Oryzias latipes: one gene and its partners. The protein of the gene in region 3 interacts with the protein of the main gene of each other region in a pairwise test. Links are inferred from orthologs where the notes say so. Each region holds a gene or a part of one and is shown on either strand. Other genes may lie near its edges.

Region 1 (11,179 bases), on a different chromosome or scaffold from region 3:
TCGTATCAGAGAAATAATTATTTACTCGGTTATTTATGTGTTTGTAATTCAGTGTTAAACTTTGGCGTAGTATTGCAAACAACCACAAGAGGGCGCGACTTGTTCAGGTTATATTTCCCCAAGTTACTGTCGAGATAAATATTTGTATGTATATATATAAATATATATATAAATAAAAAACAAGTGCAAAGCAACCTGAATCTTTAATTTACACAGATGTGATTCATTGTGCTCACGATTACCATTGAATGTTTTTTTCTCCTAAGAACTATGAATGAAAAAATTAAAATGTGAAACATTTTAATTTGGGGAAAAAAGAACAGCACATCATAAGGACATTTGTATTTGTAAAGCCATTTTATGTTGTAGAAAATATCTCATTTATTAAGGTTCTTTTGGAGTATCACAGGTTAAAACAACTCTAAAACAACCTAAAGGGGGGGGGGGGGGGGGGTGAATGAGGCTGTTGTAAATATTCACTATTGTACAAAGGGATTATGACTGATTGATTGTTGGGAGTTTTGGTTGAAAGCGGCCGAAAGCTGACAGACAACAAAAACAAGGCACTCTGTACTCTGGGAAAATTTTTGATGCATCTTCCAAGAATCACTGTCAAAGGATTTGACCCAATTTTGGAAAAAACAAAAAAAAGAATTACAGAAGACACAAAAGACACTGTCATGTTTTGGTGCAAACCAAATGTTGAATAAAAGTGAATCTTTGCTTTTATTGATTATGAAAATGAACAGGCACCTATTACATGGAGCTTGCACATCCCAAAATAACATTTTAAATATAAATAACTCACCCTCATTAGTGTTTTCACTCATAAGAGTCTGCAAGCTAAGAGTCCAAACCCACATTGAAAACAACAAATTAAATAAAAAAAAGGGGGTAGCATTGTTTTAAAAATAAAAATAAAGAAATCACATCCAAACCCTTGTAACATAATCACTCCCAACAGATGAAGATGTCCTTTGATCTACTGCTTGTTGCACGAATGCTTTCATGACTGCATTTACACATTGGACAACACCCACTGCAGAAAAGCAAAGAAAAAAAAATTCAAGAGTCTTTAAGTTATCTATATAATTTCTAGAACAATGTGTGCTGTTTTAACTGCTTGTACAATAAAGATTATAGTCACATTCACTCTAGTTCAATCAAGGAAGAACACCAGGCGACGGGAGGAAAAAAGTAGGCATAAATACAAAAAAATAGAAGGAAAATTCAAGTATCTCCGACTGGATGGTGATAAACATTTGCTTGAGGAATGGAGTGATTACAGCCTGAATTGACCAAATCCTCTGGTTGGAAGTGTAGTAATACCCCCCCAACGACTCATCTACTTTCTGGAAAGTCTAGTGTCAAAATCAGAATATCAAAACTGCATGCGCCCCTATAGTACAAGTTTATCGCTGACTGTACGCAGCAAAAAATGTAGTGAAAGATGTCGATGTCGACTAATTTTCAGTAAAATAAGCACTCATCTCATCCCTCAGCTAGGAAGTTAATGTACCATCTGCCAAACCTTTTCACATCATCCAATAGTTCTAAAGCATACAAGAGTTTTAGACATGTTATAAGTTTACAGCATAACAGTCTCTTTTGGTGCAAATATAGTTTAATTCAAAATATACGATAGTTTTCTCTCTTTTTTTTGTTGTTTTTTTTTAGAGGTGATCTCTTTATTGAAAAAGTACCTGAGTCACAACTCTGACCAGGAGGGGAAGAAAAAAAAAAAAAAAGAAAAAAAAATCACAAATGCCTTCTCTATACAACTCCAACAAAGCCTCATTTTATCATTCACTGCTGCACTGGAGATCAAATGAGGATTTCAATTAAGTAACAATTAGGAAAGAAATAAAAAAAAAACAAGAACCCTCAATTGTTACTATAATCCCCCATTTAAAGTATCGGCTAAGGGCAAAACAAGAATACAAAAAAAAACATACACTTAAAATCAAATAGTTTAGAGGAAGAAAAAATTAAAGCCTATATTTAAAAAAAGTATTGTACAAATTAAAAAACAAAAAAGAATCCTGCAACAATGTTTCCCTACAGACATTCTTTAAATGGAAGATAAGCTGCTGCACATCTTGAAGGCTGGACTACTGACAACTACCCCGAACCACGAGTGGAGATGTACAGTGAGGTCATTAAATAACTTTAGATCTAATATCACTTTAGTTCCATCTGTAGCAACAACAGCAGGAAGAACTGCCATCAGGTGTCAAGGTGGAAACTGTTTGTACTTTGAAACTAAAAGCCTTAAACCTGATAAATAGGTGGAGGATTTCTTACAGTACATCTGCAAGTTGGGGGGATAAATGTGCACAGGTTCTTTGAAACTAAATCATTTCACAGTGCATAACAATGATAGTGAAAGGAGAAAAAAAACTAAACGGATGATGCATTTTCTTGGGGTTTTGATGGTTAGACTCCTTCAAGATGATGACTGGATTTGGATTTTTGTCTTTGTAGGCCCAAGCATGCATCCATCAGTTATTATTGCACGACACAAAACCCTAAAATGCACCTAAATACAAACGGAAAAAAAAGTAACAATAATCTTAAAACAGGAATTATAATTAGCTCACCACAACTCTTCCTTTCCTGCTCGCTGCACTGTGGCTGTCTCGCCACAAACCATATTGTGTGGGTGCATCCAAATGTTCATTTACTTCCACTTTCTATGTTACAGCAAACTAAAAACATGCAGCCGACTGTCCACGGTGGGGGGTGGGGTGGGGTGGGGGGGATAGGCAGTCCTGCGCTTGGTTTCCAATGTTCCAGTCACAAGTCAGAGTTCAAAGACTGAAGGATTAAAAAGTGCTTCATGTAGGTCAGTAGGGCTGCGTCTTCTACCATTAATAGAAAGTTTGTACATTAGCAAGTATCATCTGTGGAGGGAAAAGTACAAGAAAGCCAGTTTAAAATTGATAAAAAAAAATTTATAATCAAAAAAGTAGTGACAAAGTACTCACCATGATACCACCATTTTGTTTTCTTTGGATTTTTGTTACACGTTCTTACATAAAAAGAGTTATCTGGTGGCCGTCTCTGCCAAAAAAATAAAAATAGATAAATAAAAATGTCCAAGAGGTGAAGAACAGGAAGAACAGGAACTTCTGCGTTCAACTACTTACCTTTTCTTTGCAGCTGGACAACATGCTGATAATGCTAAGACAAACAGATTGCACTGAGAGCGCTGGTGACCAATCTTCTGTCAGAATAGATAAACAGATGTGACCGTTGCTATACACATGCGGATGAACAGGTATATTCTCCCCTGTGAACATCACCTGCGCAGAGGAAAGACAGGTTACAGTACTCAAAGTTATAAGTGACAAACAAAGATGAACGCAGTTTTTCCTAACTTAATACGGAATGAAGGCCTGTTCACGATCAAACAAGTAAAGTAAGGAAAAGTTATTTTTTCTTACTTTAGTTTAAAAAAACTCGATTATTATTACAACTACTTTCTGGAGAAACATTAGGCTATAGGATTAAGTTCAAGAGATCAGCTGTTCATATAAAAGGTCAGTAAAGGAGGCAGAAAGATTATAATGCAGTGAAAATATGGCAAAGAGTTTCCTCATTCCAGCTGCTTCTACTCACTGTTTACATTATGGTTTATGCTGCTAAAAATAAGAGCTTTTCTTTGTTTTGTACGATTGATTCGATATGGGAAGACTGTACTTTTAGCCTTCTTACGTTATTACTGATTTGTAAACAGGTAATCAATGTCCATATAATCCAGATTATAGCACCAGAGAAAGAGCTGAGATTGGGGTTAAGATGTATAATCCTTCACTCACAGAGAGCAAAATACAAGGCAGATAGGAACATCTAAAATTACAAATTATTTCCAGGTAAAATAAAAAAATGATTTAAAAAAACAAGAACAGCTTTATTTATAAGCAAACATAACACAAAACTAAAGATTGATTAATCCAAAAACCTAAAAGCTATTCAAAAACTAGCAATCTATGAACAAAATTAGCCAATACGTCTAGAAATCGAAAGATGTCGAGAAATTTCAGGATGGTGGTGAGTGAAGATTTTGAAGTGTTTAACTTTAAGCTTTGGCAGCAAATGAGAAGTGTGAACATCTATAGAAGTAAACTACGTCAAAGAAATCCTTTCATTAGAGTCTAACATCAGGTGGTTCTAAAACAGAAAATCAATAGATCAGGTCAGTTTTATAAGGCAACATATTTATGAGCATGTTGGGGAGAATCCCAGAAAGTAAGGGACATTTTCTCTGATTATGTTGATGCAACCGAACACAAACACAGAACGCCATCGAACAGTATTGACCTGTCCGACCTTTGACAGTCTGGCCTTACAGTAAATAGAGTTGTGTCCAAGCAGCTCAGTTGGGTTTTAGTTCGGAATTTTGGATTTTTAGATGGTCAAGAAATTGACTAGCATAACAAACAGTCGAGTGAAACTATTTGACTGAATCCAAGCTCCACTGTTTCTAAAGCACGCTCCTTTAACAAGAGAGTGTGACCAATACACCACCCATAAAGCAGCTCTGTACAGGTACTAAACAACTTTTACCTCCATTTCTCACATTGATTTGCAGAACCTTTAGTCTAAAACAGGAAAAACTTCTTATCAGCCATGGAAAAGGAGCAATTGCCTTAGTTTATCCTTATGTTATTGTCTTTTTTTGTCTGAATAGAGATCTTTCAAAGCCTCCAATAGTTCCGTCAAACGTAGACACTCAGTCTAGCTGCTAGTTCTTAAAAAGAACCTGATTTATTATTAAACCTTTCCAGCTGCACGGGACAAAGAGCTCTAGAAAGTCTCACATTCAGGGTCGTGTGGGGCCGTGCTTACCTGGGGTGAATCAAAAGGATATCGACCACTAAATTTGAAAAGTAGCTGAAACTTCTCTCCTTCATACAGAGTCCCAGGCGCTCCTTCCATATCTACAATCCACCTAAAAGACAAGCAAGAGACAAAAAACAGGATTCAATAACCCCACCAAAATAAAAGCAGCATTAACGAGACATCCAATCTGTGATGCGATTAAAAAATATGGTCAGAATGTCTTCAGACTTGCTTTCTACCCCCACTGAGGGAACAATAAAGCAATAGATAAAGGAGAGGAATGTTCAGTAGGTTTCCATAAACAACAGCAGCCTCTAAAATGGGCAGCTCACCGACAGCTGCTGGCCAAAATGTTGATCCACTAGAAGTTGTAAGATGGTTTGTTTTATGGCTAGAAGGTAGAATCAACGGTTATTAAATTAGCTGGCTTTCATGCAACAGATAGTTATGAGCACACAGGTATTTGAGTCAATTATCTGGCAATAACAAGGAAAATATACATTTTACAACTTGAATAGATAATCGACATTAGCCCAGAAAAATGTTTTAGTGCATTTCTTTAAATTCTATTAAAAAAAATTATAGAATTTTTATAGAAAAGATTTCACTCTGAACTGCATCTAAACACAAGTGGTCCCTCCTTGAATGAACAAAGAATTTATGAAGATAGACTTAAAAGAGGTTAAACATTTACTTTATTTATATGATAGAAAGAATCAAATCAGACATTTAGTCTTAGTTGCTGCAAGAAAAACATTTGGTCAGTATAGAATGACAAGTTGTTTCATAATCTTCTGGTTCTGCTTTATGACATGCAAACCAAAAAGGAGGCAAGACGGCACATACTTTAGAGAAGCTCTTTATCCTGGGTTAAATTCCATTTGTAAACAATTAAAAAACATACAGACATCAAGCACAGTTCTTTTCCTCACAAACTGCTTCTTGTATCACGTGTAAGCTATCTGATCTCCATGTGATGGAAAAAACCCAGGAGTTTGCAGCTTTCTTCACCTTCATTTAACATTTCGGGGACAACACACTCCCCTTTTATCTTTGACACTCGTTTTGTGAAAGCAGTCCCGTGTACCCAGATATGGAACATGGGACGCAGACGCCAGGATCACGGCTGAAATGTGCCGGCAGGTCACTTTCTGCAGTATCTGCTGTCCTTCAGCATCACACTGCCAGAACAATGGTGGAAAAGATTGTGGCAGTGACGCAGCAATGATAAAGTGGCCAAAATAATATGTGACCACACAAACCGGTTAACTAGTAATGCTTCATGGCTTTCATCGTTTTATCATTATTCTTTCTTTTATTGTTTAGGGATTTTATTTATATTTAATTTCTGTGTTCGGCACTTTGGCTGCTCGTTCTTTTATAAGTGCTGTGCAAGTCATAACATTTATTTAAAAAAAAACATCTCCCAACAAAAGTGATAACTATCCTACAGCTCTCTCTTAAACATAAAAACATTTGATAGATTTTAGTAGAAAAAAATAAAAGAGAAAAACCCTGAAGTTACTTTTAGTTTAGATTTTAATGCAAAAAAACATTTAAAAAAATGGTTTAAATAAAGAATCATCAAAATCCTTATCAGGTCCAAAATTACTATACAACAGAATACATTTGAATGAACTGTAATCTGTTCTCTCTATTCTTTGAATACAACAACAGAAGCAGAAAAACATCCCTTAATATAAACAACTTTTTCTAACTGACCACTTCACTTTATTAATGATAGTTTATTATTAGCATGTATTTTTAGAAGTTGCATAACATGTTATTTAAGTAATTTGCCAAAACATATCAATTTTATTTTTAAAACAACTAAACATGTTCACTCAGCATTTATAAGTATCTTTTCTGAAAATAATATAGTTTACTGTCACTAAGCAGGAAAACATGGAAAAGACAGTTTTGATTTAAACTAAAACTACTACAAAATACTTCCGCTTACAACATGTATTCAATTCATCTATTAAATACAGTGGAGTTTGTAGATATTTAAAATAGTTACTTGCTTTTGTTTTTATGAATTAAATGAATTTATTTAGATTTTGACATTTTCCTTCATCATTTTAAGAACACTAGCCTGAGACGGGGTTAATGTAATTTCTCATCATCATCCTAAGAGTCAACCACCAGAATCTGTCAATTCTGCATGAAGTGTCAAAACCAAAGCCTTTAATCTGACTCATTCCAGCGACATTCAGTCCTCTGCAGGGTTGTGAGAGCACTGTCTGATAATGTGATACTCCACTGAACAAAAGGACAGAATCTATTCAGCCTTAAAAAGCTGAGCCACGAAGCTTGGTGGCAAAAATGCAATCTTGCTCAGATAACAGCAGAGCCAGAAAGAGTGGAGAACCACTCCGTATGTACACTACATGTTAAGTTTTAGCTTCAGACAGAAAGCAAATTTGCTTTGTTAAAGAAGCTAAATACTAGGGCCCAGCAGAGACCAAAAAGTGGGAATTTAGTCACAGAAAGAACCCAAGAAAGTAAAAAGGGGCAACGATGCAGCATCACAATCTCTGACATTATTTTAATGCTCGCAAAATAGATCAAACTTGTCACAATTTTCTGGATTTTTAGCTTTACAATATTAAATTAAAGTCAAGTTCAGGTCCTTGTAAGACGTCCTTGTTTTAAAAGCCTTCAATGTGAGGAAGGTATGCATAGAGTAGTAATAAAGAACACATGAATTGAACCCAAAACATTATAAAATCAAATCATTTCCAATCTCCCATTTCCTTCCAAACGTGACATTTGAGAAACCTTGGAGGAGATGTAAACGGATGACACTTCCTCATTTCTGATTGGAAAAGTGACTCCAACTAGAAGCACAAACGTACATCCTCTTAACTAAGAGACATTTTCTAGAAAACAAAAGAATCCAATAGGTAGTACAAACAAAAACGCTCAAACTGTCAAAAAGCTGTGCAGCAACATCCTCAAAAACAGCTGTTTATCTTCAACCTGATGGATGGAGTTTGAGTCATTGGACCGTTTGAAATACAAGGTTGTAAAAAGGAGCCTCCTGCTGTTATGAATCACTACAATCTTCTCTTTGAGGCCTTTAAATCTCAGCTACAAACACGACATGCACACCCATGTCAACCAAAAACCTGTGACGTAGGGACAGAGGAAGGCAGCAGAACTGGTTTGGACAGTTGTCGGATACACCAAGCATTCATTCACATGAATATACAGAGGCCTAATCTTATTAGGAAGATGGCATAGTAAAAACTGGTACGATTATGGAAAAACTGTAAAAAAAAAAAAACAACTGCTTTCTTGTGATAGCACTATTAATGCCTGAACATGACGAAGCAGAATGAGGGGAGAAACTTATTTCCAAATTTGATTTAGCATCTTAAAATAGTTCAATAAAAATGTCCAAAAAAAAAGAAAAAAGTTGAAAAACATTCTTTAACAACATTCCCAGATCCTCAAGGGAAATCCCCCATCCTGCAGTAGCTGTGCCACCTCTGTTAATCATTATCCAGGCACAGTATGAATGCCAATCCTTAAATATTTTATAAGGATGAATTGCGACACTCAACCTTAGAGACTCTACTGAAGGGCCAGAGCTGCCAGTTACAAGGATGACCCCATTCCCCCTCTCCCTGCTCTGGTTTAGCCTTTTCCACCGACCTCCGCTTTGTTAGCAGTCAACAGTCTTCTAATGGGAATGGAATATTTCAGAAACTACTCAAGTTTCTTAAGCAATCATTTAACCATGTGAAGTTATACTTACTGTGTGATGGTGTTTTGTACACTTTTCTCATTGAGGGTCATTCCTGGGGGTGGATCATTTTGCAGGGCTAACAATTCCTTCTGTAGCCTTTTCTGTTGAGGGAAGAAAGTGTACAAATGTTTGCACAACAGTCAAATATCTAGTAATACTAGCACTATACTAGCACAATGTTAGTATGGTAGAAATTGTTTTTACACATTGATTTAAACTTTATTTAAACTACCAAAAACAAGCTTACTTTGCATAAATCAAAGAGTGGATTCATAAAAATATATTAAAAAACTATACTGGCATTTTAACAAAATATTTAGTCATTTTCAATTAAAGCCCATATTGATAAAGGTGGGACGTTTTTATTTTATAAGTGAACATTAGACTAGGCTGGATTAGGCAGTGAAACAGGAAATAGTTGAAGTAAAATAGTTTGTAAACTCCATGCCTTCTTTAAAAAAAAAACACTTCAAATATCTGCAACAGCATATTTATTAGGGGAAATTTATTTTTCAAGTTTGACATTTTGCTTGTCCAACAACTCCCGCTGTGGGCATTTCTGTCAGGGAGAAGATGCTTGATTATTAAGATCAAGATTAACTGCATTTTCCTCAAGTAAGCCTTATTGATAAGCTCATGTTTGCATTTAGGTGAACAGTGACTTTCGTTTCCCTGTTTAGCTACAACAAGGAAATATTCGGTCCCTTTAATCGAAACATAGTTGATACAGGTACGCAACAAACCGAATCAAAATACATTTAAACTAAAGGGAAGCGACTTTCATTTAATTGCCAGATCTCTTGAATTTATATCCGAGACAAAAACGCCGACATTCTGACATTCATCATTTAGAACAAGTACACCTGTTCAGATGAGCAGTACAGTGCTACCCAATCTGCGCACCGTCGCGTTAGCTACCACGGTGAATGTCGACCAAATACAGAGCAGCTCGCATTTAATTCAATGACTTTTCCTATCACGATAGTCCAGTTCCTAGATTTTAATTTACATATCCCATGCAAAAGAGCCTCTGCCATGCATCGAAATGTAGTTTCTGTTGACGGTTTCTACACTAGCTGTGGCCGTAGATGATGATGGACTGCTTGTGTGTTGCTAGCAAAGAGACCCAGCGCTAACCTGACGAGTTAAAAAAAGAAAATTACACCACTTCTTCCTCCATGTAACTACCAATATGAAGTCAATATTACATTTAAACGGAGTGACACACAAACTGCTGAGAACAACCAAAAGACTTTTAGGGTAAATTGTTAAATTCCGCTCGCTGTCATTTGTACTCTTACCTGCATCGACGCCATGATGGAAACCCCCTCTGCACCAGCGCAGAGCGGAGAACGCTACGTCAGCGACCCACGTGACCAGAGTTGTTTTGACAGAAGAACAGCCTTCACACCAACAACGTGCACCGTCAGAGCCAACACCCAATCCCACTTCGCTCCTTCTATGTCAAGAAATGACATTTTAAAGGTACACTTGATACATTTTTCTTTCGTCCCCCCCCCCCAAACCACAGACACGTTAAAAAAACGTCCATTCTGGATCAAATTCGGACGAAGTCACGCGATACCAATTTGAATAAATAATGTCAAACATTCAGAGAAATCAAAATTGTTAACGTCCAAATTTACCTTTAAAAACAATAAGCTGTATATTCTATAATGGAAAAACATTTTAGTAAACAAATAGTCCAAATCAACAAATTTCAACAAAAACCCTCAAGTGTTCCCAAATGTTATTTAGGTTTTCCCATTTGTGAGACAAAAAACAAATCAGAAACATGAAAACCATCCCTATTTTAAAGATTAGACAAGTGACCAAATGACAAGCAGAAAAAGTGATGATTTAAGCTTGTTTACAAAAGGTATATCGTTTGAAGTACAAATACATTTGTATGCTCAAGACTTTCAATTCAGTTTTATTCATGTAGCCCAATATTACAATAGTTGTCTCATTGGGTTTCACCAACTGTACAAAAGATCAAATCAGTTATAAAATACAAAAGTTGATTGCTAAACTAAACGGTACATCCCTGCCCTTAGACGCCGCCTTTTCGCCAAGGAAAAACTAACTAAAAACAGATTCCAATAAAACAAAAAAAGAAACCACTTTCTTTAATTTAGCTGCACTAAATGGCTTTTTGGTACAAATGGGATTTCCTAAAGTGTATTCTGCCCTTATATCATGGAATATGTGTTGAGGGGACGTTATTTCATTAGGAAAAGGACCACACTTGCCAAATTCTCTTTTTTAAACTGAAACTGTTATTGTGGCCAAAGTGAAAGTAGTTTTTTTAAGGCCATTTCAGTGGCTATTTTGTTCTCCTTTTAACACCAGCTGTGCCTAAAAATGATTGTTTTGGTGCAACATTTCAAACTGCAAAATAAGTGAGGAAGCGGAAATAAAGTGCTCACCAAATAAATCTTTATTAAGATTGATGTAGAAGGTGAGGAAAGATTTTCGTGAAGGGTGCAGTTATGTTTTTGGCCTGCCATGTTCAACACCATTTAAAACGACATTTTTATTTAAACACAATCAAAATGATAAGACAAAGTATGAAGCAAC
Region 2 (11,286 bases), on a different chromosome or scaffold from region 3:
ATGCCGGTACAATTAGAACAGTTTTTCTGCTTATATTCAACCCTTCAGATAAATGACAGGACAACCAGCAGCCACTGCATCTTCAGTGCGTCTCTAGTCCTTGAAATGTACTGACAGTACCCCGGCAAAAGGATAGTACCCCGGCAAAGTGAAAGTACCCCAGCAAAGTGATAGTACCCCGGCAAAGTGATAGTACCCCGGCAAAGTGATAGTACCCCGGCAAAGTGATAGTACCCCGGCAACGATATGAAACAGAAAAGATCACACACTGCTCTTCATTTGCAGAAAGTTTTAATTGTTTGTCAAAAATATGGGGAAGTGAGAAAAAGGAAGATAGTTTAATAACTGCTAAAATTTCTTTTACCCTGCTTTTTGAGGTTCCTGTAAAATCCTTTTTTATTTTATTTTATTATTTTTATTTTGTTTTTTATCTTGTCAGGATCAGGATCTCTTTTTCCAGGGTGATCTGGCCAAGAGGTCAGCAGCACACGTCATTAAAACAAACCAGACAACAGAAAGGCAAATAAAATTCAATAAAAAAAAATATATATATGTGTTTAAAAACAAGACAGTCTATAAAACGGAAACTTAATAGTGTAACAGTTAGACATAATAAGAGTAATAAAATAAAAGTACAAACACTGTTCGAAATATGAAAAACGTATTTGTTTTTTTTCTAATCGATTTATGAACGTGTTTTTAATTGAAACTCTTTTATATATTACCGTTTTGGTTCCCTTTAAAAATAGGAAAGTTAGGTTGAGAAAATGTACAAATGGTTTAAATCGGTTTCAAAATGTTATTATTGGTTGCAACAACATAGTCTCCTTACCAAGCGTTTAATCATACTTGAGACTTTAATTTCCACACCACACCTCCTAACCATCCTGCAGCTACAAAAAACTTAACATTGTTCCTGCTGAGAGCAAACAGACGCAGAGCAAACTGATGAAATTAAAACTCTCAGGTAATGCCCTATTTCTGAGAAGCAACATAAAGCTGACATTTAAGCAGTAGTAGATTCGTGGAATTCTCTCGCAGCTGCTTTTGTTGGGAAACAAATAAACAAAACCACCCAAAGAGTCTGGTTTCACTCGGTATGTGTTGCATTTCCCTGCTTCAGTTCATGTAAATGATTGCGAGAAGAGGCCCTCACCTGCTAGGCCTATGAGAGCAAACAGGTTTTCTTTGAAACAAGGAGGGTGTTGCATAGCGAGTATGATATCACTGAGAAAAGGTGGAGCCTTAAAAAGCCGTCTAGGGAGGGGCGGCAGGACTGCATCGCAGTCAAACCTCAGCCGCTGAAAGCATGCACAACCTCTCCCCAAAGCAGAAAGTTTACTGAACCTCTGAAAATGTGCACAGGAGAAAGCAGGTACAGTCATTTCCTTATTTCGTCAGTTTCTGATAATATTCGATCGGGGAACTTAAATGTGCAGCTGAATGAATTGATGCTGATGGAAGTGAATGTCAACAGAGTAAAAAGAATCCTAAAGTAAGTATGAACACTGCTGCTGCCCATGTTCAGCTTTTTAGCTAAGCGATTCATAAAATTTCCAGTTTGATTTTCAACAACAACGACCAAAAATGATAAAGGGTAACGTTAAACAAGTAAAACAGGTAGATATTCTGCTCATTGTTAACCCCTGAGGGCAGAAAACCTCCCCAGAGTCGTCAGATAATGTGGACCATGTATGATGAAACAGAGAAGAGTGGCTGATTCTAGAAATTGTGGTGAAGCAATACAGAGACAAAAGCAGCTTAACTGTTTGTAAAATACTAAAAAGAGTAAAAACGCAATCTAGTGCTTACATTTCTGTAAAGCAGGAGCGGACACTCATATCTTTGCACACAGATAAATGAGGACAACTTAAGAACTAGGAGATCCGTTTGGAAAGGTCACTAATTGCAACACAAAACAATTTTCTGAATTAATCTTTTATCAAAACTGAAAACCAGCTTTGACAGACTTTGTTACAAAATGAAGAATTAAGTTTGGATCCATATTACATGTATTGTGCACATCTTTAATACATTTTTGTATGTTTAATATATGTTTTTATGTTAAAAGGTACTTTGTTAGTAAGAGAATGAACTATTCAAACTAAAATGTATACGTAATAGGTACTGGCACTAAATTAGTTTATTGACAACAGCTTCCTAAACTAAATATTCTAAGCAGCAACAACTTTAAGTAAAAAGAAAAATGTTTGTGTTGAACATGTGTCCTGGTTATTTTTTTAACATAGATTGCCAGTATTAAAGACCCATTCCAATAAAAAAACATGTTTTTGGTGTTTTTAACTTGTACTCGTGGCATTTTTCTGATAATGGAGGACACATATAAAGAAAATTAAGCTAAAAAATTACATTTCTGAGTATATCTTTATTCAAATTGTAAATCAGGAGCAAATGCAAATAAAAAAGCAGTCTGGAAAACAGTGTATTTATGAGAACATACACTCGGTGGGCCACAAGGTCCAGGCTCTCAGCAACAGGGAGGGGAGGGGAGGGGGTTGCTCCACGCTGACTCTGAAGTAAATTTTAAAACAAACTACTGCCGCTCTGCAGAAACTGTCTTTTTTAGGCTAAAAATAGCATAGTTCTAATTGCTCAGGATAGATGACTCCAGTAATCAAAGGTGATTGTACTGGAACTTTAAAAACAATGATTCTGAGAGGGTGAAGTGCGCTTCTAACTTTTTCTAAGATCAAAATGGAGTTCAACAATTAAATAACCAACAAGTTGATGTTTTTTATTACGCTAAACTGCATAAGTTCTGTGTGTTAAGAGATGCCTGTTTAAAAACCTCCACAAAACTTTCATATCACACATTGAAAAATGATATTTAGTCACGAAGAATTGTACTTTTTGCCTGTTTTTCTCCGTCTCTTGTGAGCTGTAAACTTTACTCCACTATTTTTACTAACCTGTCTACTACGGTAATTCATTGTTTTGCATCTTTTCCAGGACTATCTTGAGCACCTTGAAACCGAACTCTGCATGACACAAAGGGCACCCGAATATTCATCGGCATCTGAGGCAAACCCCAAAATGATGAAAATGCTGGCGATCCTGGGCCAATGGGACATCTCTGGCTGTCACACGGATAACATGAGCAGTTATTGTTTACTTTTTCTCTTCAAATTGGGATTGGACTTGGTTGTCTTCTTTTTATGCAGCCCCAAGAAGTATACCTACTTCCTAAGCATATGCAGCCTGTCCATTGCACTGGGTGACTTGGTTATTACATTTTTAATGACGACCATATGGTTTCTTGGAACTGAGAGGTCTTTCGTGTCCCCCTGCTTCATCTTGGCCAAAGCATCTGTGATATATAGTGCACTGCCGCTGCCTATGATGTGCCTGGGTTTACTCTTCTACTGCTTGGAGAATACTCGTCCGAGCAGCTCCGCCGCATTCCTCAAATCCTTCAGAAATGTGTGCTTAACTTTACTGGTGTGGAGCGTAGCTATTGTTTTCTCAATTATCTTTGTCAATGCTGAACCAAGAGAAATGGAATATGAAACTGGGAGACGCGCATTGGTGTGTCAAGTAGAAGAGTCAACGCTGGTGGCCAGCTTTACATCATTACTTTTCATTGGAACATCATTTACCCTGCTGCCGTTTTGCTCAGAAATTTTCCACTGGATGAAAGAGGCTGACCAACTACTAGAGGCAAGGCAGCAAACAACAACAAACAAACAGCAACGTACAAACAAGAGCGACCTGTTTTCCACTTCTGCAGGAACACAAGCAACTGATGGGAGGAACAATGGAGAGAATTACCAGAAGGAAACGATCTGGCCACGCCCACCTCTGTGGACCAGCCTAACACTAGGCTTCAGTACATTTTGGATGCCTTACCTGGTAGTGTCTCTAATCTGTCAGCTCTGCGGTTTCCCAGTACCTGCCTACATTTCTGTTAACCTCCTGTGGTTGGAATGCACCAACAGTTTGATGACAGGCGTAGTGTTCTGGGTAAGGAGCAAAACAACAGGGCCATACGACAATCTACCAGAAAATGTCTGCCTTTGGCACATTTACTGGCACCTGAGTAAAGGCACTCAACAGGTGATAATGCCTCTTCCTGTTTTCAACCCGTCAAAAGACAAAGAACAAACCTTATTTCTTGTTTAAAGAAATACAGAATAACTGTTTGTCATTACAACGGGTTCCCCTGAAAACACACAACGATATCTACACACTTACGTGGATCATTTACTTCTGCGGTGTAGGAAGTTAGCTTGAAGGGCCAAACTACCAAGCTTGCACAGCAAAAATACTTAAACTCATGTAAAGAAAGGGGATCACAATCAACTGTACCTGTTGATTTATGTAAAAAAGTACGGGAAATGCTGCCATTGTTACCTGTTTACAACTTTTCACTTTTTTTATACTTTGGTTTTTAAACAAATAATTGCTTTTATCCTGTAGACAATAAAATATATTCAAAAGTCATGTGAGTTTCTTTTTCGATTTTTATGTATTTAATATTAAAAAGGCAGTTCATGCCATGTCAGGTATGTGCTTTATAGCTAACGAGAATCAAAGTGGGTTTTTCCATCCATCTATTTTCTTGACCCACTGTATCCTTTTAAGGGTGACGGGATAAAGTATGTTACGGTTTGATAAAAAAGAATGGAATTTCCACCGGTAACCTCTGATAAATATGTTTAGCATTTACTCTGGCTCAGTGTTTAGCTTTATGCCATTTGGATTACAGTCAAGCATCAGCTAAATCAGGGGTCAGCAGCCTGCGGCTCTCTGTGGTTTTTTAAAATAACGATCATGTCTAAGATTGCCGTGTCACACCTTTCACACCGTCGGGATGTGCGAGCGGGCAGAAGAAAGACAGCAGCGTGAAGACGCGGAGGGGGCGTGTCTGCGACAGACCAGAGTCTCTTATAGGATGGAAAGTTCTTCATGTTGAATGAGGTTGAATGAGAAGTGAATAAAAGCCTCATCATGCAGAACCTCTCCGGGTCGTCTGTCGACCAGCTGTTGTATTTTTGTCACCAGGTCTGAACCAGGAACGGGTCGGAACCAGGCGAGCTGCTCGTCCCTGTAGCGGTTACCCTGTGCTAACGACTACGGTCAGCAAGCAGTCAGCAAGGTTCATAAAAATAATATAAAAAAAAAAAACAAAAAAAACTAACGGGCTGAGTATTAGGTTTCTGATTAAAGTTTGGATTACACACCTGCGTCACCGCCACGACTCCCAACAATGTTCTGGGACAACAATGGAGAATTTTGAGAAAATTGAAGTTCCTCATGATGAATGAATTATTAATATGTAATGAGGAATTAGCAAACAACAAAGTCTCAAATGTGGCAAGACATTCCAGTATAAACATGCAGCTTTTGTCTAAAAACATCCAGATCCAGATGAGAAAATAAGTTGTTTGTTGACAAAAATCTATTGGAGAAGCAGATTAACTGCTAGTTAATTACAACATATTTGCTAGTTTTGTGGCCTCTCGGGGAAATGGTTCTCATCGGAACCTATTAAATAACAGAGGATGAAAAAAAAAAGAACGCAGCGCCCCCTGCTGGTTCATCACCGCGGTGATCAAAAATCCCACACCGTCACAGCTCAATTTAGACACATATTAAAGAAGCAGCCACAAAAACACATCTACTGAAACTATCATCATTCTCTGGAGCAAGGACGCGTTGAAGGGGAAAATAAAAACATAAGGCAGGAGACACCAAATTGATGAAGCAAGGCACAAAAACACAAGTAAAAAAGGTCAGTCCAACCTGTCCATAATGATTTCTGCGGAGGCAGAATGTCTTGGGGGAGGCTGTTTTTGCCGATAAAATCAACAACAACTGCAAATGAGGCCTCATTGTTTGCTATGCTGCTTTCATTTGGGACAGTTAAAAGAAAATACCTTTGGGACCTGAGAGTTCTTGGAAGTCTGTAAGATCAACGTGCCTTATAAAAAGGAAGCACGTAAGTTTTTCAGAGTTTTTAAATGTCTTAAAAAAAAGAACATGTTTGTGGACGTAAAGGATACAGAAATGTATAAAAGAAATTAATCAAGTTATGAGTGTAACAGCCATATCAGTTGAGAATCACAGATACAAACAAGATCATGTTAAAATAGAGGTATAAAATTGATCAGGAATAATCGGTTTATCTCTGTCAATTTCTCTTCTTTTTGTGCTTTACTCTATCGGAACGTCCAGTCACAAGCTTATTTCTACCAAGTCAGGTTAATTACAGTAAGCTGAAGGTCATCAATGTATCTATGAAGCGTGTTTTTGGACTGTGGGAGGAAGGGATGCACGGGGAGAACATGCAAACTCCACACAGAGAGTTCCCAGCTAGGTCTTCTCGCCGCGAGAGCGCTAACCACTGTGCCATCGTGCAGCCCTTATGTTATATGCCAAATGAATAATAAATATCTAGATTGTTTTCCATTTAGTCATTTGTCATCCTTTTAGATTAAAAGAAATTGGACTGTACCGGAAAGTTAGTTGAATATTTTATGTATCAATTCATAGACCATGTATCGAGATGCGCATCAATTCATTTGAGACGGAAAGATATACAACCCCACTCCAGAGCAGTAAATTAAATACAAGGTACCTATCTACGGCGGGCATGGTGCAGCGTTAGGGCGGTCGACCCATGATTGTAATATTGCAGGTTTGATTCCCGCCTTGCACACCCATGAGTCAAAGTGTCCTTGGGCAAGACATTGAACCCCACCTGGCCTCTGGTGGGAGGTTGGCGCCAGTGTTCGGCAGCGGAGCCGCCATCGGTGTGTGAATGTGTGTGTGACTGGGTCTGCGACTGTAAAGTGCTTTGGGCCTTGAAGAAGGTAGCTAAGCGCTATATAAGTATACGCCATTTGCCATATTTAAAAGACAGATTGATAGATAGCAAGCAAGAAAGGGCATCGTTAGTATTATATTAAACTTTGGAAATGTGTGTTGTACTCCCTGATTACTTGATTCACCTGAATTAAGTTAAAAAAACAAAAACAAAAAAAACACAATGGATCTAGGGGAAAAAAAGCTTTGCGATATCAAAGTACAGACGGAAAGACTCTCACAGACTAAGTTAAGTAGAGAATTAAACAAGCTAGAAAATAAGCAAAAGTAAAACCAAACATGTTGTGTAGTCTTTGTTGGATCTAATGGAATGCTGTATAAACATTACTTTAAGCTTTTAAAAATATAAAAAAAATAAAACGTCGTTTGTTAAAAGAGTGTCTAAACCGGACTTTAATTTGTTAATACGACGGTGAAATTCAGACAGAGACACATGATGATTCACCACACAAAAACTACTTTTATTTATAAGGATGCATCTAATAAACAGACGCAAACCGTATCACGCGCAGTTTACATGATATTATTCTTTCTCTGTAAAGAATAACTATATATTTGAGTCGATTTTCAAGTTACCCTTAAGCCTTAGCTAACAAATTTTAGCCATTTATTCAACTTTTCTTTTAAGCTCACTTACCTGACCGCCGATGGTGATGTCGAAGAAAACGATTGGATTGTTTGGGTTTGTAGGTTGAACAGACATAGTGATATTTTATACATACAACTTATTAACTTTAAATAATAGCAATGTTGAATTCACACGCCACTCATTTGAAAACCACGCACATGCGCAGTAAGAGTCTACGGTGGCTCGCCGGAGTCAGCGAAATACTTGCGCTTTTTTCCTTCAAACTTTATTGAATGAATACAAAAAGAAGGAAAGAAAGAATGAAAATCAGTGCTATGCGCTTTTTACCATGGACTGTAAAAACAATGGACACTATGAGGACAGTTCTTCTTTGTTACTTAATAATATCCAAAACCTCAGAACTATTGATGAAGAGGAAATTAGTTATTGTGGGAGCCTTCTCACGCTTGAGGAAGTAATTTGATTTTATTTGATTTATTTTTATTTCAAGCATTAACTGTAGTCAATACTTTTTTTTTAAATCACACAGATTGACAAACTAATTACAGAAATGATGAAAGACATAGATTAAAACAAAGACTCGCTTTTGTCACATTTGCTTAAATAAATATAGTATTCATTAATGTCAAATAGAGCTTCTTGATTTATTGCTTGAAAATGAGTGGGAAGAACAAAAGCATTCATAACCCCACCCTTTAAACTTAAACTAAAAGTAATGTGAATTATTTGCAATTAAGGACTGCTCAGTAGATGTTATCTGCAGTATAATGTTAAAATTAATAGGGCCAAAATTTTTCTTAAGAACCCCACTGCTATCTGGAACATTATACCATTTACAGATTTTTTTCTCTAGTTTTGGAGGCTTTAATTTTATTTTGAATTGTAACAATAATGTTGTGAAACTCCCAGTAAAACTCTCATCTTTCCATTAGCAGGTCCTCTTAGTGTGGAACCTAATTTTCAAGTATCCTTTTTCACCACACAAATATTTCATCTGGATTAACAGATTTTTTTCATTTAAAAAAAGATCACTCCACCTGGAGACCTGGACACAGAATAGGACCCTGCTGGTGGCTCGGCTATTCAATAAGGAGGGGCAGCTGCTAAACTACAATGTGTCCTTATCGCTATATAATTTTCCTGTCAGTCTACAAGAGTCCATAAACCTTGTGCTATCCTAGGCACTTTAACATTGGGAGTTGGGTCATCTAGACCCACTAGACAGTGCGCTGAACCTTTTTTCTTCAATGATTTGTGAACCTCACTGGTGTCCATGGATTACATGAAATCTTTCCACCTTTATCCATCTTTGTCATGGTAGGGAGAACACGTCAATGCAAGGGTGGGGTCATCTAAGATAGCACAAGGGTTAATGGTGCAGAATGCCCTACCATCAGGAACATTAATGCTGTTTAAAAACACTGATAAATAAGTGACATAGTATATTTTAAATTATTGTAATCAATTTGTTCCAGGTAACAACTGGAAAGTGGTGTGGAGGATCCCTCATAAACATTTAACAATAAATAAGGTGAAAGAAGTGTCTTTTTAAATTCTCCATAAAATTTACCCTGCAAAACAATACTTGACAAAATTTGAAAAAGATATTAATACTGATTGTTTCTGTGGAGATCATTCAGAAACTGTGACACATCTTTTTGGGTATTTGCCCACCCAGACGTTTTGAAAGGAGTTCAGTAGATTTATCATTCATATCTTTAAAGATTTCTCTCTGAGATGGGAAAATGCGTTACCCTGTGTTTTCACTATTTCAAAAAGAGCATAAAATTGTTTTATTGTCTATGTACTATGCATTCATTGTACGTCATACACTGCATTGGTTCTTTCTTGTGTTGTATACTTGCATTCTGTTTCATAAAGTTAAATAAAATAAAATAAAATAAGAACAATGGACAGTTCAACTTCTCCCTTCTCATGTTCCCAAATAGGAAGTACCATAGTTCCCTGATACGGGTGCAGTTAAGTCGCTCTGAGTCATCGTATCTCTGGCAACTACTGTCGCCATTGCCATAGATAATCTATCACACTAATCAGTACATGTTAAGATATAATACGACAATTGACCTCCATTGTACTCTTTGTAAACAACACCCAGAAACAATTAGTCACCTACTTTGGAACTGTAATATTACAAAAAAGTTTTGGAAAGAATGTATATATTTTATAAGTCACAAATTTGACTCACAATTTCAGATGAAATTTTCCCCCTATAATAATTAAAGAATTAGAATCTTATTTGTGTACCATTTCTAATAGTATAAACAAAAAAGCCATACGTACATATGACAACTGTCTACCTTTGAAGATCTTCAATGTGTAGTAATGTGTTTTGCAATATTGCTTCTTTAATATATATTCTCATTGTTATGGCCATTGTTCTTGTTCTTCATACTTGTGTCAAAACAATAACGTTTTTTTAAAAGCCATTGCCGTAGATACAATGACCTACTGAAGGGTGAGGGATTTTGCTTCATCTGCAAGAGTAAGGCATTTTCGATGGGTGACGTCGAACCTCGATTTGTCCATTGCTTTGTTTGTTTTTTTCCAGCCTGTGGTTTTCCTGTTTACGATTAACAGCTTCAAGATGAATATAGTATGGAGGACCGGAAGAGTCTTTTAAAAAGAGAATGAGGATCTCAGGAATAGACACATGGAAAAGAAAGGTCTGTGTTAAATAAAAAGTAATTATTTTAAATTAAAATTAAGCCAATACAGGCTTTTTTTTGTCATAGGGAAAGTTTTTCATAACCCTTCTTTTTCTTCTAAAAAATTTGTTTCTTTTCTCACCTTATGTTTTTTTGCCTTACCTACTGAACTCATTTTAGCATTTGTCTTTATTACATTTGACTGATTTCTGCTTAAGTCACCTATAGTATTTCTGCAAGAGATTTCAGATGTTGATATTAAACTCCCTGTTCCTTAGTTTTGATTTAATAATTTTGGTTGTAAAAACCTTGTTTGTTAACCCCCATCCGTCCCGCTTCCACACACACCCTTACTTTCTAAGAAGCCTAATTTTGGTAGCCTGTGTATCCTGTTTCTCTACTTCATCATTTAACGTGTGAGATCATGCCTGCAGGAATTTGATCTCATCTTCTGACTGAAGCTTTAACCAATATATCAAGTCTTACCAACAGGACTTACTATTTTAATATGACTTTGCTTTGTTTAATTCAATTCAATTCAATTCAATTTTATTTGTAAAGCCCAAAATCACAACAACAGTCGTCTCGATGGGCTTTATTGTTGATTTATGTAGTATTTATCAACAACACACATTCAGATAAATTAAAAGCATACAAGTTAAACAATAAAGCAAAAATGATTCTTTATACATAAACACGATTAGAACTTCAAATTTTTACTCAAGAAATTTGGACTTCGTGGAAAACATCAATGATCTGGTGGGTTTATGACTTTGTTTTATACTCAGAAACGATGCAAAATACTTGTGAAAATTGTACTGAAGATCATATTTCAACAGCATTTGCATTGGCTATATGTAAAACTTGTTTGCAGGGTCAAGTTGTCAATTCCTTTATCTCTTTTGCAGCCACCAGAAACCAACACATTGCCTCTTAAATCTGGACACTCTCTCCTGCATGTTCTTTCTCCTTCAATTCAATTCCATATTATTTATATTGCCCAATACTACAACACAGCTGTCTCAACGGGATTCACACCAGTAACTGTACAAAACATAAAATCAGTCACAAAATATAATAGTTGCAATACCAGATCTCTAGTTACAAATTAAACCTAAATAAAAGTTAACTTCTTCCCATTATTCCAGAGGCAATGGCGTACCCCTTCCCCAGCAGTCCCCCAAC
Region 3 (10,917 bases):
TCCCAGGCCTCTAGTAGAGGACCCAAGCTTGGGTGAGAAACTTGCGGGGGTGTGAAAAGAGTGTTTAATTTATACCATGTAATTCCCCATTAACCCACATCAAATAAGGGGAAGTTGGATGCTTGCCTTGTCACCTAAACAGCAAGTCTCACTCAGCATGGGGGTTTCTTACCAAACTGCACAGAAACTTCGTACTTTCCCTTTTTCACTGCTTCTTGAAGTGAATTCATCAAATTGTGTTTGGTGGCTTCAACTTTTTTTCTAGTGGTTTACCTGTACTTTTCTGTATTTTTTTTAACCAAAGAAATGTCACTGAAGATTTGTTTGAACAAATGGATGTTTATTAAAACCCTATTTATGACTTCTGCCTAATACTATTCCCCTATTCCACATTGGTTATGTTTTGGAAGCTGTTTAAAATGTTTTATTTTTTATTTCATGTGACCAAATGTAAATATATCTAAAGTTGTATAGTTTGGATGCTGCGTGTCTGACAGGGCAGCCTCACAGCCGGCTGAACTTAAAATGACTCAGAACACACTGAAATTTGAACCACTGTCCCACCAACTTTTCAGAAGTTAAAGTGTGATCTTAAAGAAAACTGCATCCTTCATAATAAAAGCATAGACTAAAACCCACTTCAAAATATGTGGCATTTTGTATTCTTGCTCCAAACGTTGAAAAACAGAAAAAAAGCTAAATTTGAATAAATTAATCATATAAATGTCGCATTTGCTTTGAGACATAAGGGACACATTTATAAATGTTTTTTACTCATTTAGTTTCTTTTGTCGACAGTGTATTTTACTGATTTTAAACAGCATATTTGTAAGGGAAACCCCCCCTGGGAAGAAAAAAAAAACCTAGAGATTTGCTTAAAAGTCGCTTTTCGGGACTGCGTGGTTTTTTTTCTCTCTCTTTTTTTTTTCAAATCTACGTTTCAACACATACTGCATAAGTTACAAAAACATATCTTTCTTTAGCAATAACATCTTCGGGCTTGAGCTGTTAAGCATGTTGAAATTTTTCTGTTTAAGTGACAATGTTTTATATTTTTTTCCATAACGAAACTGAAACAGAACCTCTGGAATCTTCTCATTGAACCCCCACTTTCTTTGCGTAATCGACGATGCGCATGCGCATTGTCAAAGACTACGCTGTTCTTACTTCCTGACTTTGGGAGGTCACGCCAAAGGAATTCTTCTACGCCGATTTCCTTCACAGGGCGATCTCATCAAGGACCTTTTCAAACCACGAACCGAAGACCTCCCTACACGAGCAAAGAAATGCAAGTATTTTATGTTTTTAGAGCCGCTGGTAAAGTAATCGCGCGCTTAGCGAACAAGGCTAACTAGCTAGCTAGTCAAATGTTACATGAAATGTAAACAAACTATAGTTACAGCAAAGGTACGCACTTTTAAATAATAATTTGACTCCTTATGTAAGATTCCTTTATCCACTGTAAAACACCAGCAGTTGTCTTTTTTCTTTTATATTAATTTTTAATCCGTGATGTGTAGCCCTTTAAATGATGTGGGTGGAATCTTTGTGAACAGAGCAAAGTATGCAGTTGATAGTTCGTAGAAACACAACAATGACGGCATACGCATTTGTCGCTCACTGGGCGGTTAGAGATGTTAATTTCAGTTTTGCTGTCGCAAAGACAGCAAAACTGTCTTTGCGACAGCATATTTACTGTAGTAAATATGGCCGTTAGCTTTTGATTTGATCACTTGATCACTGAGGCAGAAAAACGTGACAGTGCAAAGATCACATGCAGTCCTCCACCACCAGCAGATAAAATCCCATGTCACAGCTAAATGTGCACCAAATAGTTCCACGTACAGCGTGTTTGTCAGAAGGAGTAATGCAGCATATGACTGTCCTAATGTGTGGCAACAATATCACACAAGAGTCTCAACCTCCTGTAGAAAACAGTGATTGTTTTTGACTGTGCTGCTAGTACATTTCTGGATAATCTAACAAACATATGTGGCAGATCGCTGAAACCTATTAACAGTGTTCCAACATTGTGTTTTGATGAATCAATGATCTGATTAGCTCTTTAAGAATGGTGAACAGTACATCTGCTACACCCTTTGGCATATAAGTTAACTACAGGAGCCGCCCTCGTGCCCATCCCTTGTGCCTTCACTAAAACATTCATTTTTTCAACTGATATCCATCTGGTTTCCTGAGTTACCGGCTTAAAAGAACTTTAAAGAGCCTAGCTATGTGGACAGATTATGACTATGAATGGAATGGACATTCCATACCATTCTATCTACACACACTCTCAAAAAATGTCCAACTGAAAGATATTTGACTTCTACTTTCTGTTTTTGACAAATAATTTCCTCTGGGAGGTGACTAGGCTTGAATAAAAGTCATCACACCTTTAGTATGTGTCATGAATAAGAATTGCATGAAACACAGGCGTGCTGATGCAATGTTTATTAGCACGATGTGATGTCAAAGGTGGACATAAAGATAGGGAAGCTGGTTAACTTCCAGAATACTTTATATTTTTGACAAATCTGAATGACTGAGGAGGACTGAAGCTAGCAGGAGAACATGGCAACAGAGAGCCCTCGGCAACATGGAGAGAAGCGGCGTTGCTCCATGCCAACAGTCCAGCCAACAACTCAGAGGCGAATTTCTAATGATCTACTGCTGCTCTGCAGAAAAATCTGGGCACTTTTTTGGACAAAAATGGCATAGTGGTAATTAGAAGACCCCTGGGAACACTTTAAAAATGGCTCAAAAGATGATCGGAGTAGGTCTTTAAGTAAAAAAAAAGAGATTCCCCCATGATCTATTATTCAAGGTTCTACACTTCTAACTCAAACCTTTTTCATGTTTCTTTTCTTTTAGATTTTGTGTTTACCGCCACAGCTACTTGTTTCAATGATGTGTGACCCCAGCCAAGATGGGAATTGGGAATCGGACTCCACAATTGATTACTCTAAGATAAACAATCGTCTGGAATCTTTCTACAACTCCAGCTGGAGCAAGAAGGTGTCACCGCTGCAACTGGCTGAAGCTGGCTTCCTCTTCACTGGAGTCTCTGACCGCGTACGCTGCTTCAGTTGCCAGAAAACGGTAGAAAACTGGTCCCAGGAAGATCAACCAGTGGACAGACACATACAGGTAATTGTTTATGTTGAAAAAAAAAATAGTTTAGAAATGTTGGGCAATTCTTTTTCAACTTTTTAAATAATAAAGTTCAACATTTTCCTTCCATGCAGGTTTCCCCATCGTGCACGTTTCTCCGCTGCACACACTTCAACCGTTTTAAGTCAAATCCCCATATGCCCCTCAGCAATGGGGGCCTTCATGATGGAACTGAAGGATATATAGATTACCAGTTGAGAACAAGAGCCATTGTTGATGAGACTCCATATCCACGGAACCGGAATATGAAAAGCGAAGAAGCCCGCCTGGAAACTTTCTCTTCGTGGCCGCGTTCTGCTCCAGTCAGACCTCGAGATTTGGCTCAGGCAGGTTTGTTCTACTTAGGAAAGGAGGATAAAGTGGAGTGTTTCAGTTGTGGAGGCAAGCTAAGTGGCTGGAAACCTGGGGACACCCCCTGGAACGAGCATGAAAAACATTTTTCCCACTGCTTCTACATCCTTGGTCATGACGTGGGAAATGTGCCTCTGGAAAGAGATGGAGGAGAAAATGAAGAGACTGGCAGCAGAAACCAACATCGCACACCTGTCAATTTGGAAAATCTTGACGAGCGACTCGGCACTTTTGCACGCGTCCAGCACCCGATTGACCACGAGCTGCTTGCTAAAGCTGGCTTCTACAGCAAAGGTAAAGCATGTTTGTTCAAACATCCCCTTTACAAATGAGATGTACCGGTAATATTTTAATTTTTCTAAATCTAAATGTTTGTTCATAATATTTTTTTATTATTATTCTAGGAGAAGGAGACGAAGTGATCTGTTTCAGATGTGGTGGTGGTTTGAAAGATTGGGACCCTGAGGACAATCCTTGGGAAGAACATGCCAAATATTATCCTGGGTAAAAACCTCCAGCTTTGCTTTTTCCCATAAAAGAAGGATTATGTATTCGTATAACCCTTGTGCTATCCTATGGGGTCAAGATGGCCATTGACGTGTTCTCCCTACATGACAAAGGTGGACAAAGGTGGAAAGATTTCATGTAATCCATAGACACCAGTGAAGATCACAAATCATTGAAGAAAAAAGGTTCAGCTCACTGTCTAGTGGGTCTAGATGACCCAACTCCCAACGTTAACGTGCCTAGGATAGCACAAGGGATGTAAGTGTATTTATGTATGTATCTTACATCCTTTTTTTTAAATTCCATTTTAGATGCAGCTTTCTTTTATCAGAAAAAGGCCAAGAGTTTGTTAATACAATTCAGCTACAAGAACCTAAATACTCACAACAGGTAAGGCATATTATTTCCCCTCATTTAAGAAATCTGTTTCTGAAGCTTCTTCACTTCCCTAGTTTTTGTAGAAATTGTTTTTTTTTTTTTAAATAAAACAAAGAAGGTTTATTTTGTATTATGCCTAGCCTATTCTCTGTTAAAGAGTTGGTGGGGGAGTGTGTTTAAAACAAAAGCTGTTAGACGTTTCTCATGAGTTCAGACAAAAGGATTTACAAAAAGTGATGATGTGACCCTTTTGTTTCCAGGCTTCAGAACATCAAAATGGATTTTTTGAAGAGGAGAAAGGTAAATATTCTTGGATATGTATCTAAATCTAAAAATGTACACTATGGTATTAGTTAGCTGAACCTTTTGAGAAGGAGAACCTAAGCCAGGGGTCTGCAACCTTCAGCACTTGTAGAGCCAATCAGGTTAATTTTTCACTTACCGGAACCCAGTAGGAGCCATAAAAAGACACTGATTTGCATTCATGTTATTGTTACTATTATTGTAAATATAAATCAAGTTGTGGATTTTTCACAGAAATAAAACAGTCATAAAGATAAATTTGTTTGAAATAGTGAGAACTTTTAACAGAGGTTTACATGACTTCCTTTCAAGATAAAAGACTCTCTGTACCACATATGATCATCTTAATGTAACAAATGTTGTTGTAGGAATTGGGATGTCAGCAGTGATTAAAAAACAACAACTATACACTGTTTAATTTATTGTTGTTTATACCTCTCAGCCAGAAATTTGTAAAAATCTAACAAGCTAAAATGAAACTAGATTTTTGACCCTATGGCGCACTTGCAATTGTTGAATTTTGTTCAATAATAATCTCTTCTAGTCTCAGCGTGCCTTAAGTATGAATTCTGGTTGTGTTTACTGACCTCCAGCTGAATTGCTGTGGTCAAATCGTTTCAAACGTTAGACGATTTTGTTTTGATTGATGTATCGTATGGTCTAAAGAATGTTACTTTTTAAAATGAAAAACATTTTAGTATTCTTCAATATGAGAGCCACAAAGGAGGGGTCAAAGAGCCACATGTAGCTCCAGAGCTTCAGGTTGCAGAGCCCTGACCTCAGCTCAGTCATTTGTTGGGGTTAAATTAAAAGTCAAAAAACATTATCTTCTGCAATTTTACATTAATTACATACGAACTGGGCTGACAAATAATAGAAAACATTGAATTTTCAAGCATGGTCTAAGCAGTACGGCAGAGTTAAAAAAAAAAAAGAAAAAAAGTAGGATGCCCAGACCATGACCCTGCTGCACCCCCCTGTGGCCTGCTTGGGCTCTTACAGTTAGAGATTGTCACAATTGGGACCGTGGAAAACTAACCCTTTCTTTTTTCAGTTGAGAACCCTCTAGAGGAGCTGGAGAAGCTGCGGCAGGAAAAGCGCTGTAAAATCTGCCTAGACGAGAACGCGTGCATCGTCTTCATCCCATGTGGACATCTGGCCAGCTGCAAGGCGTGTTCCAATAAGCTCAACCAGTGTCCCATCTGCTGTGCAGCTATAGCACAGAAAATCCGGACCTTCATCGCTTAGGAAACCAAAGACTCTTGTCTAACATGGTTGCTGCTATTCTTTCAATGGAGACGTATTTTTTAAGTGGGTGTCTGTGAAGAAATGGCTTTTTGTGAGCATGTAGGTGGAAAAAACAAAGAGTAATACAACTAAAGGTTTGTCTAAACCAGGTTTGCAAGAACTTACATATAACAGCCGTTTTCTTCACAGCAAGAAAACACGAAAATTTGTTTGTTTGTAGTGATGAAACATTCACAAAACATCAATATCTGCATTTCTTCATCCAACTTGAAGATTTTTAGGGTTTAAGTTGTTTTTAAACATAAAAAGTGCTTTTTCTTCAGACTCGGAATAAAAACTATTCCCCGTGCTCCAAGATCTGGAATTCATTCATTGTTTTTTTTACACAAATCTCCACTTAAAAAAAGGAAAATTCCATTAGTGACTATGTAATATAACGCTATATTCATCAAACATGCACTATAATATATGTAAAGATAGTTGATGTTGCAGAATTAGAGATGTATCTGAATAATATTTTTTCAGTAGTTTGGGGGATAAAGGATTATTCTATCCAGGTGATTTTGTTAGAAGCAATAATTTTTTCTTATTATTGTTTAAAATGTAACGTTTTCATTTGTTTTCTGTTTCTATCTATGCATTTATTTAAACTTTAAAGCTTTGAAATTGTCTTATTTTAGTTTTCTGTTCCCAAGCATATATTTAGTTTTTAAACTTTGATTTATTTTCTTTATTTGTCAAAGATATTTTAATGCATAAAGGCAAAATTTTAAAAACACTACTAATAAAGACTCTTCCAGTGTGGTGAGATGTTTCACACGTCACTCATTCAATTGCTTTCATTAACAGTGAATAAATAACTTTTTTGTCTTTATTTACCTTCCATTTTTCCCTAAAACTGTTTTTTTAATTAAAAAAGTTCCTTAACTATGACAATTTTTTTTTTATCTTATGAAATTATTTTCTAATCATCTTAATGAATATTTTGGGGAAGAAACAACAGGTAGAAATCTAAATTTCAATCATTTTTGATTATATAAAAATATTGAATTAATTTTAATTCTAAATTGGGTGGTTTCATCTGAATTTACATTTTTTTTATTGTTTGATTTAACATCACATTTCAATTTTAAACAATTTCAGACACATTTTCAAACAATATTTGTCTTGGATGTTCAAGTTTTTTAATTTGGAATGGAATTTTTTTAGGATTTTTAAATAAAAAATAATTAGAAACTGTCAATTTGGTAATTTAATATTTATTTTAAATGATTTGATTGCATTTTTATATTTTAGCTAAGTCTTGTTTTGTAGTTTGACTTTTATGTATTTTTTTTGTTCTGTAAGACATTACATTTTGTCGGGTGGGCGGCATATTTGGGTAATATTCATAAAAACAGATTATGTTTCTGCCACTGGCAAACGGCTTCTTCCCCCAGGTACAGCCAACCATCAGGTTAATTCTCCAAGAATTTAAATTTACTTGAAACATCTGACCGATTTGATTAAAAGCTGGTATTGAACCCACGTTGAATTAAGATTGGGGGGAGATGTAGTTTTTTATTATGACAGTGGATAATGAGCGTGCTGCAAAGTAAGCATCCCAATGGAAGGGCTTATTTCTAGGAGTGAAACTTAGAAATCTTTCTATCAACAGACTAGAACATGGAAACCAGCAAAACTAACCACATCCTCTTGTTTTGTAGTTAATTATTATTAAAGTTCAATAGATTATTTATAAATTACTTTGATTTAGCATCTAAATACGTCTCAGAAACGCGGTAAGTTTCTAAGTTCTGCAAAACTAACAACCAGCTGATAAAACTGTGCTGCACATAGATGAAATCAACCCAAATCTATTTATAACACTTTTTTCAATTTTGTTTACTGATCTCTTTTTACATTTATTTTGTATTAAATGGAACTCCGTGGAAGGTGTTTTAGAGTCAAAGCTGTCCTAAAGTGAAAAGGGAAGAGAAGAGCCGCCCCTCCCAAAAAATTGCAGTACCCCTAATTACCACTAGATGTCAGGTCAAGCCACTTGTCGTTCACGCATCCGCTGTGGCCGCTAGGTGGCAGCTCTGCTCCAGGATTTCCTCCTCCCAGGTCGTCGAAACAACAAACCGAACTACGGAGCAAGCGGGGTGAGAGAACGTCCGAAACCGCCTTTAACCGCGACTTTTAAACTCTTTTTACAAAATTATTACTGGATTAAGACACAAGACCGTAAAAGGGTAGTACAAGTTAAGATCGCAACGGGACTACATTTTACCACAAGGTAAGTTAGATGTAAAATGGCGGAGAGCTATCTGGAACTTAGTTGATTTGTATTTTGCTAGCTATCTCGCTAGCTTTGCTAGCCTGAGAAGAGCTCACAGCGCGGCTGCCTGCCTGAACCAAGTCGCTTTGCTAGTTCGCGGTATATGGCAACTTAAACGCCAGTAAGCTAACAATCCCACATTTTTGCACGCCCGCCCTAAGCGAACACTTTGCTGCGGAAATAAGTAATTTAAAATCTGGAATAGCGTTTTAGGACTTAATATATTTGTAAACAGAGTGATTGTTGCTTATGCAATACGGCGGTGGAACTCCCGAGGCAAGATGGAGGACGCAAGGACGTGATGTTTTTTTAAGGTAACGTTAGCATTAGCTGTTAGCATTTTCTGACTAATCGGAGTTATTCTCAACTTGTAAATTGCAGAGTGTGTATTTCGTTTTATTTTCCTTAAGACTAGCATCGTATGCAAGTGGAATACGAGCTAAATATAGTCTAGACTACTAAATATATAGTTGATTAGCGTGATTATACACTGGCTAATTTTAGCTTACAGTAGAGCTTGCGTTGTTTTGTTGTGATAGTCGGAAAATTTCAAGGCGTACAGAGTGCATATATACAATATCTTGAAGTCTCGTGCCGTCAAAGTATGCCGTCTTGCTTTTATCTACTCTTTTCTTGTTTGCACCGAGTCGTGCACGCGCACTACGTTAGATTTTAGTTAGCTGACGTCGAGGAAAATACTCCGAGATCCTCGGTTCCTTAGCTGGTGGCGCTAGCACCAGCAGCGCACCGGTGTCAATTTTGACAGGAACCGACAAAGAGCGTTGCTGTGCCGGCGTCGTTGGAGGGAATTGAGTCCGAAGTGTGCGGAGTCGTGAGACGTTTATAAGCAACCAGATCTATTTTGTGGAGTAATTGAACCGAAATGTATTTAGAATTAGGTCACATGGGCAACTTTATGGGTTTGTCGATACGATTTGGCGCCACTTTTTCAGTCTACACCCATCGTATTCTCTCGTCTTGACATGCAGTGTTTCCCTCACTTCATAGGAAATGGACTCGTTAAAAAAAAAAAAAAACTTAGATTAGATAATATACAAATATTTGAAGTATTCATTCCATGCATCTTTTCATCTGTATTAGATAACTTCAATAGTCCTAAATTTAAATAAATATATATATAAGTTGAACTTTTAAAATAGTGATGAGCTCAAACCGCATGTTTCCAAACGTGGGTCATGATTTGGACGGAAAACATTAGAATCAGGAACGTTAGACAGTTTTTTTTTTTATCTTTTTGCTTAACCATATGTAAGAATACCAGGGCAAAGTGAACTAAAGCCAATTTAGTACATTTAGGAGGATCATGGGTACAGTTTGCTTTTTATTCCTTATTGCTGGACGGTTGAATATATGTTTGTGTGGGCCTTTTTCTACAATTCAAGACATTTGCATCCAGTGGGAGTATCAGGCCGCAAAAAATATACAGCTCTGAAAAGTTACTTCTGCTATCTACTTTGAAAAAAGCTTGTCTTACTCCTTGGCCTGCAGTGTCTTGTTGATGTTGATACTGCACTTTGATTGGTTTGGTTTTGTGTTGGGCGGATTGAGTTGGACCATATTTGGCCATGGAGGATGATACTCCAGTCTAACTCGCATGACAAGCAGGAGTGATGACACTCGGGGAGCCAATGGGAAGATGGCAAGCGTGACAGCGGAGGCTGTGCCCACCCCCTGTTACCATGTGAAAATTTTATTTTACCTCACACAAGCTTGAACAGTGAAACGGGTTCATTCATTTTTTCCCCCGTAGAAATCAAAACATGTTTGTTCAAGTCAGGGCAACTTGGTTAAAAATGCTTAAAGATCTCACTGATTTCTGTCTTTTATTTTAAGGTCACATGCGGCCTTTCCCGTCTTGTGTTTGCTGAGGATCTTAAGTCAGTTCCAAGTTGACGGTATTCAGAAAATGTTACAGAAATGATAGCAGCACCAGAAATCCCAACAGAGTTCGCCTACCCTCAGTAAGGATTTGTTTTATTTATTTTTTCTGATTTGATGGTTGATGAATGCTCGTTGATGCTCATTTCACTGTTTATATGTACCTACTAGGGATACAGACACAAGGTTCTCCTCAGATACTGACTTTTCTGAGGATTTCGATGGAAGAAGTACAACTTCAGCTAAGGGAAAGGTAGTATTTTTTTTAAATATGTAGAAAGTTGTGTTTGTGTTCTATTTATTGGTTTATGACCTGATCTTTATCCTTTTTTCCCTCTCAAATATTTATCACAGGGGGGGAAGAAGGGCAAGAAAGCAATTGGGGATAAAGGCAAAGGAGGAAAGGCAGCAGGCCGCATAAATGGCCACCACCAAGAAAACGGCATGGAAAACATGATGTTGTTTGAGGTCGTAAAGCTCGGAAGGAGTGCAATGCAGGTAAGACCTGCTGTGACCAAATGACCTTTTGGAGTCATTTCCTATTGGTTACGGACATAAACATTGATTTTAATGCACATGTTTATTTATTTCATGCAGTCTGTTGTTGATGACTGGATTGAGTCCTACAAACACGACAGAGATGCAGCACTGCTAGATCTCATCAATTTCTTTATCCAGTGCTCGGGATGTAAAGGTATCCCCCCCCCCATGTACATTGTTTTTGTCATTGTAAAAAA

The links.
Region 1: the proteins of E3 ubiquitin-protein ligase XIAP (region 3) and ube2w interact in a two-hybrid assay, tested with the Homo sapiens proteins (2 studies listed by BioGRID and IntAct). The link is inferred for Oryzias latipes from reciprocal best matches to the Homo sapiens genes XIAP and UBE2W.
Region 2: the proteins of E3 ubiquitin-protein ligase XIAP (region 3) and ppih interact in binary tests that used the Homo sapiens proteins (3 or more experiments, as listed by UniProt). The two-hybrid records come from large-scale screens. The link is inferred for Oryzias latipes from reciprocal best matches to the Homo sapiens genes XIAP and PPIH.

What each region holds. Positions count from the first base shown.
Region 1 is NC_019878.2:16,087,467-16,098,645, reverse strand, and holds ube2w (ubiquitin-conjugating enzyme E2 W), read right to left. Parts: upstream 10,002-11,179; 5' UTR 9,916-10,001; coding exon 9,901-9,915; intron 8,701-9,900; coding exon 8,609-8,700; intron 4,955-8,608; coding exon 4,852-4,954; intron 3,306-4,851; coding exon 3,150-3,305; intron 3,064-3,149; coding exon 2,988-3,063; intron 2,904-2,987; coding exon 2,890-2,903; 3' UTR 682-2,889; downstream 1-681. UniProt on the Homo sapiens protein: Accepts ubiquitin from the E1 complex and catalyzes its covalent attachment to other proteins.
Region 2 is NC_019865.2:7,773,886-7,785,171, reverse strand, and holds the start of ppih (peptidyl-prolyl cis-trans isomerase H), read right to left. Parts: upstream 7,659-11,286; 5' UTR 7,550-7,658; coding exon 7,484-7,549; intron 4,462-7,483; exon of another isoform or gene 4,141-4,461; coding exon of another isoform or gene 3,004-4,140; exon of another isoform or gene 2,971-3,003; intron 1,496-2,970; exon of another isoform or gene 1,193-1,495; intron 1-1,192. Other genes in the region: uncharacterized protein LOC105354339, read left to right, coding at 3,004-4,140. UniProt on the Homo sapiens protein: PPIase that catalyzes the cis-trans isomerization of proline imidic peptide bonds in oligopeptides and may therefore assist protein folding. Participates in pre-mRNA splicing.
Region 3 is NC_019868.2:22,022,965-22,033,881, forward strand, and holds E3 ubiquitin-protein ligase XIAP, read left to right. Parts: upstream 1-1,137; 5' UTR 1,138-1,288; intron 1,289-2,874; 5' UTR 2,875-2,907; coding exon 2,908-3,150; intron 3,151-3,248; coding exon 3,249-3,819; intron 3,820-3,929; coding exon 3,930-4,029; intron 4,030-4,343; coding exon 4,344-4,422; intron 4,423-4,670; coding exon 4,671-4,710; intron 4,711-5,767; coding exon 5,768-5,961; 3' UTR 5,962-6,785; downstream 6,786-10,917. Other genes in the region: cohesin subunit SA-2, read left to right, coding at 10,220-10,263, 10,352-10,433, 10,535-10,678, 10,778-10,874.